Linked DNA regions of Drosophila melanogaster. The protein of the gene in region 1 interacts with the protein of each later gene in a pairwise test. Each region holds a gene or a part of one and is shown in the gene's direction. Other genes may lie near its edges.

The links.
Region 2: the proteins of mRpS17 (region 1) and St4 interact in a two-hybrid assay, tested with the Drosophila melanogaster proteins (one large-scale study listed by BioGRID).
Region 3: the proteins of mRpS17 (region 1) and ACOX1 interact in a two-hybrid assay, tested with the Drosophila melanogaster proteins (one large-scale study listed by BioGRID).

The regions. Positions count from the first base shown.
Region 1 is NT_033778.4:24,173,048-24,176,478, reverse strand, and holds mRpS17 (mitochondrial ribosomal protein S17), read left to right. Parts: upstream 1-2,037; 5' UTR 2,038-2,111; coding exon 2,112-2,219; intron 2,220-2,283; coding exon 2,284-2,643; 3' UTR 2,644-2,814; downstream 2,815-3,431. Other genes in the region: Nop60B (nucleolar protein at 60B), read right to left, coding at 1-52, 288-562, 755-1,006, 1,083-1,451, 1,512-1,524; CG3328 (uncharacterized protein), read right to left, coding at 3,083-3,163, 3,224-3,431.
Region 2 is NT_033778.4:13,969,292-13,973,045, reverse strand, and holds St4 (sulfotransferase 4), read left to right. Parts: upstream 1-1,782; 5' UTR 1,783-1,918; coding exon 1,919-2,003; intron 2,004-2,070; coding exon 2,071-2,305; intron 2,306-2,360; coding exon 2,361-2,692; intron 2,693-2,741; coding exon 2,742-3,130; 3' UTR 3,131-3,136; downstream 3,137-3,754. Other genes in the region: CG18568 (uncharacterized protein), read left to right, coding at 369-1,373; PheRS-m (Phenylalanyl-tRNA synthetase, mitochondrial), read right to left, coding at 3,207-3,374, 3,444-3,754.
Region 3 is NT_033778.4:17,759,238-17,762,991, forward strand, and holds the start of ACOX1 (acyl-CoA oxidase 1), read left to right. Parts: upstream 1-1,702; 5' UTR 1,703-2,028; coding exon 2,029-2,152; intron 2,153-2,891; coding exon 2,892-3,051; intron 3,052-3,105; coding exon 3,106-3,398; intron 3,399-3,455; coding exon 3,456-3,751; intron 3,752-3,754. Other genes in the region: HLH54F, read left to right, coding at 799-1,101. UniProt on the Drosophila melanogaster protein: Catalyzes the desaturation of acyl-CoAs to 2-trans-enoyl-CoAs. First enzyme of the fatty acid beta-oxidation pathway.

The DNA.
Region 1 (3,431 bases):
AGCGCAGGACACCGGGCAATGTAATCTTGGCACCATAGCAAACGGCGTTGACCTGGAGAAAGATTGATGGTTGTTAGTTGATATCATAAGGGGGTCCTTTGCTAGAGGAAATGTCGACCGAATATTCTTTGTCGAGCGCGCAGGATAAGAGCGCTGCCCAACATACACACATCAGCAGCTTTGCTGTTCCCAATCATAGTCACAGGTGCCCGTGGGGATTGCAGGCACCTGCCGGCTTAATATCATGGGGTACTACTTCGCAAACGGCAACTGGATGTCAAACTTACCGAACTGTCCTTCATAATAATGCGCTTGTGGTTGACCAGCAGACCTTCTAGCGGCTTGATCACACGTCGCAGCATAGACTCGTCCTTGTGGTTTTCGTACAGCCACATGGCGTCCAAAACATCGTGCATGGTCACCATACCATCGCGCTCAGACTGAATGCCCGAGCGGACACGGCGGAGCTCCAGCATCTGGCCACCGACACCCAGTACGAGACCAAGATGGACGCACATGGTACGGATGTAGGAGCCGGCCTCGCAACTAACCCAAAAAACACCTGAGCACGTGAGTGGGCAGAATTGGAGGAGAGAAAAAGACGAGGTTTTAACAATTACATTGTGCATTTGCTGTGTTAGGCAAATACTGGTGTTTCACTGGCTGAAGCAGGCTGCACCTCTGCAGGATAAACTAATCCAGCAGCGACGCACCAACTCTGAGCGAGAATGGATAAACAAAACTTCTGACTTACCCATATTTCGGGTTTCATCGTAGTCCAACAGCTTGCTGTCGTAGACAGTACGAACGCGCAACTGACGCTTTACGGCGGAGATGAGTGGAGGTCTCTGGAAGAGGGCACCACGCAGCTTCTCCAGGCCCTGACGCACCTTGGCCACCGACTCCACGGCTCCGTGCAGCTTGAAGATGGCCACGTACTCCTTGCCGGCGCTCTGCTGGGACTTCACCAGACGGGTGGCCCTGTCAATACAAACAATCAGGCAACCTGTAGGAAAAAAAAACACGCGGCACACAATGAGGTTAGGTTTGTATGGCGGTAGGCGAGCACGCGCTTCACTTACCCGTGACTTTGGGATCCAGCGTGCCGGAGTGGCCTGTCTTCTCCACCTTGAGGATTTTCTTGATCCAGGCCACCACCTCGTGGGAGCTGGGGTTCGACGGCTTGTCCAGGTTGATGAAGCCAGTCTTCATGTACTCTTTGATGTCGCGGTTCAGGGGCGACGATCCGTGCGCCAGCGGAGTGTAGTGGTTGGAACGGATGTTCAACTTGTCGAAGTTCTTCAGGAGCAGCGGCCATTGCGAGGTGTCCAGCTCGGCGATCTTGGAGGAGGGCTTGATTTGGAAGTTGCCCTGCTTCTGCAGCGTGCCAATGTCATCGCCGTCCAAGGGCTCCTCCTTGATCTTCTTCTTTTTCTTCTCCTTGCGTACTTCTGCGGGCGCATAGTCCGTTTATTTGGGCACTCTTTTAATTCATCACTTGCCAGACTTACCCACGTCGGCCATTTTATCTACGTTTTCTGCTAAATCAACTAATAGACGGAGAGAAACCTCCGCACGTGTTGCGCGCTGCGAGAAAATGGACGAAAAACACGTGGAGTGCGCGGTCTATCGATAAGTGTGACTACACAGAAATGTATTTCATGAAGACATCGATACATAAATGGAAATCTTGCGATATGTCATCGTGAGCCGAATTCCTTATTACAATTTTGAATTAAAAATATGTATTATTCATAAACAAAATGAATTTAAAGGTATTTACTTTGACGTAAACATTTTTAATCCATTAAAGCATTATTTAATTGAAAAGATATGTTATGTAAAACTGATACACTGTTTATAGTACGGTGAAAATGTTATGTCCTTAGAATCCACTTGTTTTTGCGATGAAAAGTCATACTACCCTACTTTTTAACTGACGCGTGCAAGCTGATTGCATTTGGCGGGATTTTGAAAATCAGAAACTGCTGAGTAAAAAATATCGAAATATTGATAGTTCCAGGCCCAATCGATACTATCGCCAGTGATCTACCAGCTGTGTTTCCCAACCGGTTGTTTATTTTTCTAAACTCTTAAATTAAATTAAAGTAATGTCGAGGCGAGGACTCCTACTAATGGGCCAGTGCATGCCCTGCATCAAGCAGAACGCCTCCAAGATCCGCATTCGCCGAATGGAGCTGGACAAGAACCTGAATATGGTGTGCATAATATACATTAGATCTCGCCTCAGGAGATTTCACACAATTTCCCTTCTGCTCGCAGTACTTTAAGAAGGACGAGTTCTACTTCGCCCACGATCCGCAGAAGGTGTGCAAGACCGGGGACGTGGTCCTGATACGGGAACTGCCAGAGCGCCTCACCCGCCTCATCACGCACAACGTGGAAAAAGTGGTCTATCCGCTGGGTGACATAACGGACCCGCTCACTGGCAAGAAGGTGGTCGTGGGCAATTACCGCGAGGACATCGAGATGGCCAACCAGCTGTTCGGCAAGTCAGAGAAGGCCTTCGACTACGAGAAGGCACCGCCCCGCGGTCGCCTGGAGGGAACCAAGGACTTCACCCACGGGGAAACATACATCAAGTACCACGAGGATGGCAAGGATCAGCCGTTCGCCGTTTAGAGCTCTGCCGGTCGTTTATCTGTTAAGTTTCCCCTTTGTTTAATAGTAAAGTGCATTAATATGACGTACATATGTTTCTCGGTTTTCTTATAAAATGGTTAGGCCGACGAAAGAAGATATTTTTATAGGTTTTTGATTGCTTGAATTGAATTAAAAAGGCAGGTTTAAAAGATTTCTCTACATATTTTATTTTAATGGTCGATAGTTGTTTTTTTTTTTTTGCATTTATTGATGATTTGTTGTGTATACGTATAAATGTATGCATTTTCAACTTCCTCTCGCTGATCAACAGTTTTTGATTATTTAATTTTTGAATTTTCCTAATTCAAACGATTTTTCCGCGCCAGGTGCCAGGACACATCCGCAACACCGAAACGTGCTGCACACGCACATGGTTTTAGAGTTCAGATTCGGTCCGTGCCATAAATTAAGCTGAATACTAATCACAATCTCTTACGATCCTAAAGTTGTACTGGAGTATGGGGTTTGCCGGGTGAGCGTTGTCGTCGCACAGTTTTTGCTGCAACGAAAAGGAGGCTAGAGTCGCTGGATTTCGCGTTAATGCGTCCGGATAACGCACCTGCTCCAGGTCGTGGCTGGCGCGGAGCATAAACTCCCGTAGGAAGTAGCCGCGGGCGGGAAGATCCAGGGCCAGGCTCAGTTTGTTCTTGCCCTGCTGCTTGAGGATCTTCACCCCGCTGGTGGACTCGGCCTCGTCATCCTCGTTCAGCTGGCCGTTGGCACTCGGCTTGGCCTGATCCTCGTCGACGCAGATGGACCACTGCAGC
Region 2 (3,754 bases), about 10 Mb from region 1:
CGACAAACTATTTTATACTTAAAAAAATTATCTAAATAATAAATTCTAAATTATCGGATTACAATTCAACTGTTTATATTTTTTTTTGTCTTGTGATTTGGATTGGATTTGGCTTAGGTTTTATTTGGGTAGGTTTTGGGTTTTGAATGCATTTCGAGTAAGGGTTTAGATAAGTATGATTCCATACCAAGTAGGCCTTTATAACGACTTCAGTGTCGGGCCTTAAGCTCTATGGCTTAGTACATTCGTTTTTCGTTACCGATTTCAAACAATTGAACTTGTAAAAATAAAAGTATTAAAGCTAACTAAAAATTTTAAGTATATACAACTGCCGCAGTAACGCAGGATACCAATAACCCATTGACGTAATGCATTCAGCCGGTAGGAGCAGTGGGCAAAGTGCGGGCTCAACACCCCGAGGTGGAGGACCCAACACCATCTCCGGGGCCACAGTGCGTTCCAAGTTAGCGGCACCTCTATCGACGCAGACGGCGGGAACACGGCGAACTGTTCACGGCGGAGCGGGCGATGGGGGAACCGATGCGGCTTGGAAGCAGACCGGTCGTCGCCTTGGCAAGCATAATCCACCTTCTCGGCTGGTCCAGCCCACGGTAGCCTCTTCGCTGAGGGCCAGCAGCAACAGGCAGACGGCCAAGCAGAAGTTCGAGAGAGCGAGAGGACATGAGAAGTCCAGATTAGTGGTGCCCTTGGCCAAGGACACCGAAACGGAAGTCAGGAAGCCAACGAAACAGCGTGTGATGTCGCAAGCGGCCAAACAGGCGGCACGGGATCGTCTCTGGCCCAGCAAACCGGCGGGCGTGGGTTTGAACTCGAATTTCCGCAAGAATAGGCAGCCAGTGCCAGAGGATTCCAATATTTTGCCGGATGTCGAGGAGGAGTCAGAATCGAAGGCGTCCAAGTCTCAGCAGCTACTGGAGACCGGCGTCCAGACGAATGAGTCTGAGATCCTCGATCATAAGCTAATCCTTGGCGAGGTGAAGATGGTATGCCCCTCCGCGCAGCTGGTCGATCAAATAGATCGGGAACGGCTCGAGCTTAAGGAGGAAAGAGAGCGACAATCATCGCGCAGGTTTGCTGCTCACGAGCAGCAGGAGGAACTGCATCTGGACGAACTGAAGGAGTTCTCGTTCCGGAATGCCGTGACCAAGAGGGCGCCCAAGAAGCCACCAACGCACCAGTACGCTCGCTATGATAATCAGTATCAGAACGTTTTCAAGTCCATGGACGATTTCTTCAGCCGGGTCCAAAACTCTATGCCCAAATCAGAGTCCGTGTCCACCATCCAGGATCGCATCAAGCGCAAGGAAGAGGAGCTGCTCAGGCTCTTCGACAACGTCGAGCTAAACGAATAATCTAAAAACTATAGGAAATTCTATATCAAATTGTCTGTGTCGTGCACGTAAAGTAGTAGTCCTTTTCAATTCAATGGTCATTTATGACTTTTAATGGGTGCTTGGGTTTTATGATATATGAGTGGTATGTTCTATAAAAAAAAAGAATTTTGGACTTCAAAACTGAGACTAACTGCCGATACAAATCAAGAATATATATATATATACGTTTAAGAACTGGTTATTTAGGTTATAACTTTGAGGCTTATTTTACTCCAACAACATTATATCGCCACTGTTTATGATCCAATAAAAGCCGTCTGAGCTAACTAATGGCTTGGAACCACACCTTTTGGGGAAAATTCAGCGTCAGCAAGTACACAGACATTAACTGAAGTCGTATTTAAATTGAGCTTAGCCAAGCGGCAATGGAGTGCCATACTAGCCAGGCCAGCACCAGCACCAGCACCAGCAGCTGACACTTTCTCTCTGGGCCGAAAGCGGGGTCAAGACGCTTTCATGACGGGCGGTTCTTCAGTCAACGCTGGCAACTGATCGCGCGAGCAATGGAAAATACGCCTCTCAAGTTTCCACACGAAATTCGCGATGTGGAGGAGTCCACCAATGCTGAGCTATTGGATCACTTCCATGGTATGTTTATAGCGCGCAAATGGCTTGTGATGCACCTAGTATATAAAAAATAAAAAAAAAAAAACAGGTGAGCGAACTGGCTTCGTTCAGGTCGGATCGGAGGGTTACTTCTTTCCGCACAAGTACAAGGACGAGGCCGAGCGGTACTACAACTTTGAGGCACGGCCGGATGACGTGTGGATAGCCACGGTGCCCAGATCGGGCACCACTTGGACGCAGGAGCTCATTTGGCTGGTGGCCAATGGGCTGGATTTTGAGCATGCCCAGGAGCGACCACTAACCGAACGCTTTCCATTCTTTGAGTGAGTGCTTGTCGCGCGATCCTATCTTAATTAAGTGAACTCCAACCGCCCTTAGATTTCCGCTCTTTGTGCATCCCAAAATTAAGGAAGAGCTGCAGGAGGAAAACCGAGACTCGGCTGAAGCTCTGGAGTTCATTGAGAAGATAGCTCGACCGGGTTACGAGGCTTTGAGCGAAATACCACGCTCGCAGCGACGGTTTATCAAAACGCATTTCCCCTTTTCTCTAATGCCGCCTAGTGTTCTCGAAAAGAAGTGCAAGGTGATCTATGTGGTTCGTGATCCCAAGGATGTTGCAGTTTCCTACTACCATTTGAACAGACTCTTCCGCACCCAAGGATACGTCGGAGATTTTGAGCGTTACTGGCATTATTTCCAAAACGGATTAAGTAAGTGATCCTTCGATGGAGTTGCCATCCTTAACCAACTATCTTTCAGATCCCTGGCTGCCCTATTACAGTCACGTTAAGGAGGCGCGGGAGCATGCCCATTTGTCCAATGTACTCTTTCTGCGCTACGAAGACATGTTGGCTGATCTGCCAGGTGCAATCAACAGCATAGCCAGCTTCTTAGAGTGTCCACCGAAACCCGAGGATATGGATAGGCTACTCGATCATCTGAGCATCAGAAGCTTCCGTGAGAACAAGTCCGTAAACATGCACGAAATGGCTTCCGTTGGCGTTCTCAACAAAGGAGAGGCAGGATTCGTGCGCAGCGGAGCCAAGACAGCGTATCAGCCGCAACAGGAGTTCGTGGAGAATCCGAAGCTTTTGAAGAGCGCCAACGAGTGGGTGGAACAGAATATTAAATCATTCAAGACCATATGAAATACCTGACTTTGTTGGCTATCTTTACTGGTGTTTTTCTTTTTTGGTTTTGAATTGAAACGGAACTAGACTATGACTAACGTATTTGCACATTGAAACTATCCACGCTCGCACTAGCGATCTGCTTGTGGATTTCGTTGACCTCCGCCTGGGTTAAGGTGCGCTCCATATGGCGATAAACAATGCGGAAGCACACGCTCGATTTCCCCGTTTTCGGGTGCTTAAACTTGTCCACCAGACTGATCTGTAAGAAAAGTAAAGTATATGAGAAATACTCGTAACATATGATACGTTTGGGATAGCTAAGACCAACCTGCTCCACCATATCACCAGCTACAGAGCGGACTAGATCGTAAAAGTCGTTCGGCGAGAAGCCGGCATCCACCTCAATGTCCTGGGGCAGCCAGAACGACAAGTCATTCGTGCACTGCGGATAGTGGGAGATGGGCTTGTACTTGGGCAGATTGTGCAGATCCTTTTCGCTAAACTGCGACAGAAAGCCACTGTCGTTCGACCAGAAGAGCCGGATGTCAGGTATATCGAACAGCACCATGGCCAGTCGCTCCAGGCCGACGCCAAAGGCGTAGCCAATCGATTGATGAACGCCCGATCTCTGCAGGATTT
Region 3 (3,754 bases), 6.4 Mb from region 1:
TGAATTTCGAAAATATTAAATATGAGTGACAGGCTGTTGGTGGAGCGGGCAGGGAACGGAGATGGTAACGCAGACCTGCGGATCTGGATGGGGGGCACTAGTTAGTCTTTGCTTTTATTTTTTATTTTTAAAGATGCTCTTGATGCTTTGAAGCGACACAGTGAATGACATGCGAGGGAAAGTGTCATCCTCAGTAGTTTTCCCACTCGGATTATTGTAATTAAAATTTGTCTAACCGTGTTTATCCATCAGCCATTCCCGCTGGAGTTTACACAATCTATCACTCAAGATTCATGGCGTGCACAACTTATCTAAATAGATGCAATTGTTTACACACCGAATGCGTGAAAAATTCAGCAAATACGGCTCCGTCTTGTGCCCATATGGTGGCAAATCAGATCGGATCGGAGAGTCCCGACCCTATCCGAATTTATACCATCCACGCGCCCAAGATGATCTGTTGGGAACAACCCATTGGTTCGCTATTTGCTCGCTAGCCCTAGCATCCCTATATCCCATTTCCAATCCCTCATTGTATGGCATACAAATGAGTGTCTCTTGTCCGCAAGTGTTTGGCTGTTTATGTTTTTATAGATCCGTTAATGAGGCTGTTATTGTAGATCTAGACGTGGAGGCGGGGGTGGGCACTAAAAACAATCAAAGTTGCGTAAACAAACAATGGCGCTGTCTCGGGATGGGTTGTCGTCATATTGTTCCATATATAGCCCCTGCGGTTTCCACAACTCCTATGATTTATGCCTGTTTTATCCACACATTCCACATTATACTGTCTTGCAGAGCTGGCCCTTTGAGTTCCACCAGAGTAGCCGGAGTTTGGCATTTGCCCCATCATCATCAACCACCTCATCCGCCCGTATGGATTGGCAAACCCTGCATACGCAATCTTATCCGAAGACTACGCGAGGCGAAACCCATGTTTCGGCGGATCTAAGTTACCATCAGTTGCCGGAATCTCACAGTCACTGGTATCCGGCGGAAGTGCATCAAATGGAGCCAGCGGCCAGCTGTTCCTATGACTCTGGAATGGGGCAGCATCAGCGGGGCATAGCTATAGCCACTAGCCATGCCCATGGCATTTAAGCGGATATTATAAATAATGTTCTGACCTAAGCCAAATGAATTTACCACCTAGTAAGTGTATTAAATCGTGATTTAATTTTACGTGTTTCCGTATGTGCAAGCCTGAACCTATGCTATAAGGCCAAAGATTGGTGTTACCTCATGATCATTTAGCTAGCAAATATATCTATGTTTTTAATAAAATTGGAATTTTTGAATTTTTTTGAATTGGCGCCAAGATTATGGTGACTGTATCCCTGGAGTTGTCGAGTGCTGCCGTACTTGTTTGTATTTTGCAGCCCTGTTCAACAGCTGATTTCGTCACAATACAAACAAAGAGCTGCTAAAAACAAAATTAATCTATTAATTAAGGCGGAATTCAAATACCCTACTTTTTTTAAAACGGCTAATTTGAGACATTTTAAAGATGTTATTTATGCAGAAAGATGTAGTGAATTTGCATTATTCACTTGCAAACAAATTATACGAACAAAGAAGCTTATGAAAGCAATCTTATTTAAATTAGAAACAAACTGAAAGAAAACGCCCAAGTACTTTTTACATGCAGTGTATTTATTTTGTGTATTTACTCATAAATGTAGCCCAACAACAATGGCGTGAGAATAATGGTTGTGCTACAGACTATTTCAACACAAAAGCGAACTTATTACATGTGTATTTTCGCGGTTAAAGTTCACGTCGTTCGAGAGCTGGCATCGATGATTAGATTCGGAATAGCTGGATCAGATCAGCAGTCCATAATCTCAATCTCCTCCACTGGATTTCCTCCACCAGCACTTGAGTGACCGACTGACTGACCACTGAGCGCAATTCGCCTTTCCAGCAACAATCAGTCAGTACGCGATATTCAACGAAGACGGACGCTTTGCGGTGGCTCGTTAATCCATAACCTGTTTACGTGACTTGAATACTGTGCCGCATAGCAAAATGCCAGCCAAACCAGTGAATCCCGATCTCCAGAAGGAACGCAGCACGGCCACCTTCAATCCCCGGGAGTTCTCCGTTCTGTGGGCCGGCGGCGAGGAGCGATTCAAGGAGAAGAAGGCCCTGGGTGAGTTAGCTTAGAAGGGAAAAACACCGGATTTCAAGCTTCTCCGGTGACCCCGACAGACCTACATGTACATTCACATTAACCGGTCGCTCAGAGCTTTATCTGAGCTTGGCGCAATCGCGTTTCCCAACAGTGGATGCAAGAAATTGTGCCAAAAGCATGACTTGGCAATTAAGCTAGGCTTTAACGCATTTATAGCTAATCTGTAGGGTACAAACTCTGATGCTAGCCATGTCAGCCACTGATAAATTATCCAAAACATCCTGTCAACTTCTTTGTTTTGATACGCTTCTTCTCCGTCCATTCATTCATGCGATTTGTTGATTTTGCTGCACGCCGTGGCCCAAAGTTCATTAATTATGTATTCCGCATAAACAAGCCGCTACTAGTTAATCAGCACCTATTAGCCAGCTCATAAGTTATTAATCTTTGAACTTCGCGCGAATCGCGATCAATCCGACTACTTGTGTACTTTGAATGTTTGCAGCTACCCACCATCTATTTCCAGGTCCACTTGAAATTAGTTTAGCTGATAGGTTTATCTGACAGATTTGCACGGTCGCTCAGGGCATCATAAATGGACAATGCCCAGTAACTCCCGCGAATTAACGAAGAATACTTTCCACTCATGATTACGCTGCAAAATTCAACAATGCTTATCTAAATGACACCTCCTAAAATATTAAATCCCTTTCCTTATGGCTTCATTTACATTAAATTTCGTTTATGATTTTTCCAGAGAAATTGTTTTTGGAGGATCCAGCCCTTCAGGACGACTTGCCCATTTCCTATTTGTCACACAAGGAGCTCTATGAGCACAGCTTGCGCAAAGCCTGCATCATAGGAGAGAAGATCCGCAAGCTACGTGCTGATGGCGAGGATGGAGTGGATACTTACAAGTAAAGAAATCCTTATATTTAATGTACTTCAGGTTGTAATTTGTGTGCTTATAGTGCTCTGCTTGGTGGATCCTTGGGATCGGCTATTCTAAAGGAGGGCAATCCGCTTGCGCTGCACTACGTGATGTTCGTGCCCACCATCATGGGCCAGGGAACGATGGATCAGCAGGTGGAATGGCTGAGCAAGGCCTGGGACTGTGAAATCATTGGCACCTATGCCCAAACGGAACTGGGACACGGAACCTTCCTGCGCGGTCTGGAGACCAGGGCTGACTACGATGCCAGCACCCAGGAGTTTGTTATAAACACTCCATCACTCAGTGCATACAAGTGGTGGCCCGGTGGATGTGAGTTTTCTTGAACACTTAATATTTTGAAATTGTTATAAAATCTGGGACTTGCAGTGGGACACACTGCTAACCATGCGGTTGTGGTGGCACAACTCTACACCAAGGGCGAGTTCCGTGGTCTGGCTCCTTTTATTGTCCAATTGAGGGATTCCGATACTCACCGTCCCATGCCCGGCATCGACATTGGAGATATTGGTACCAAGCTGGGCATGAAGGGTGTCAACAATGGCTATTTGGGACTGAAGAACGTACGGGTGCCTTTAAACAACATGCTGATGAAGAACCAGCAAGTGCTGCCCGATGGCACATATGTGGCGCCGAAGAATAGCGTGCTTACCTACGGAACTATGGTA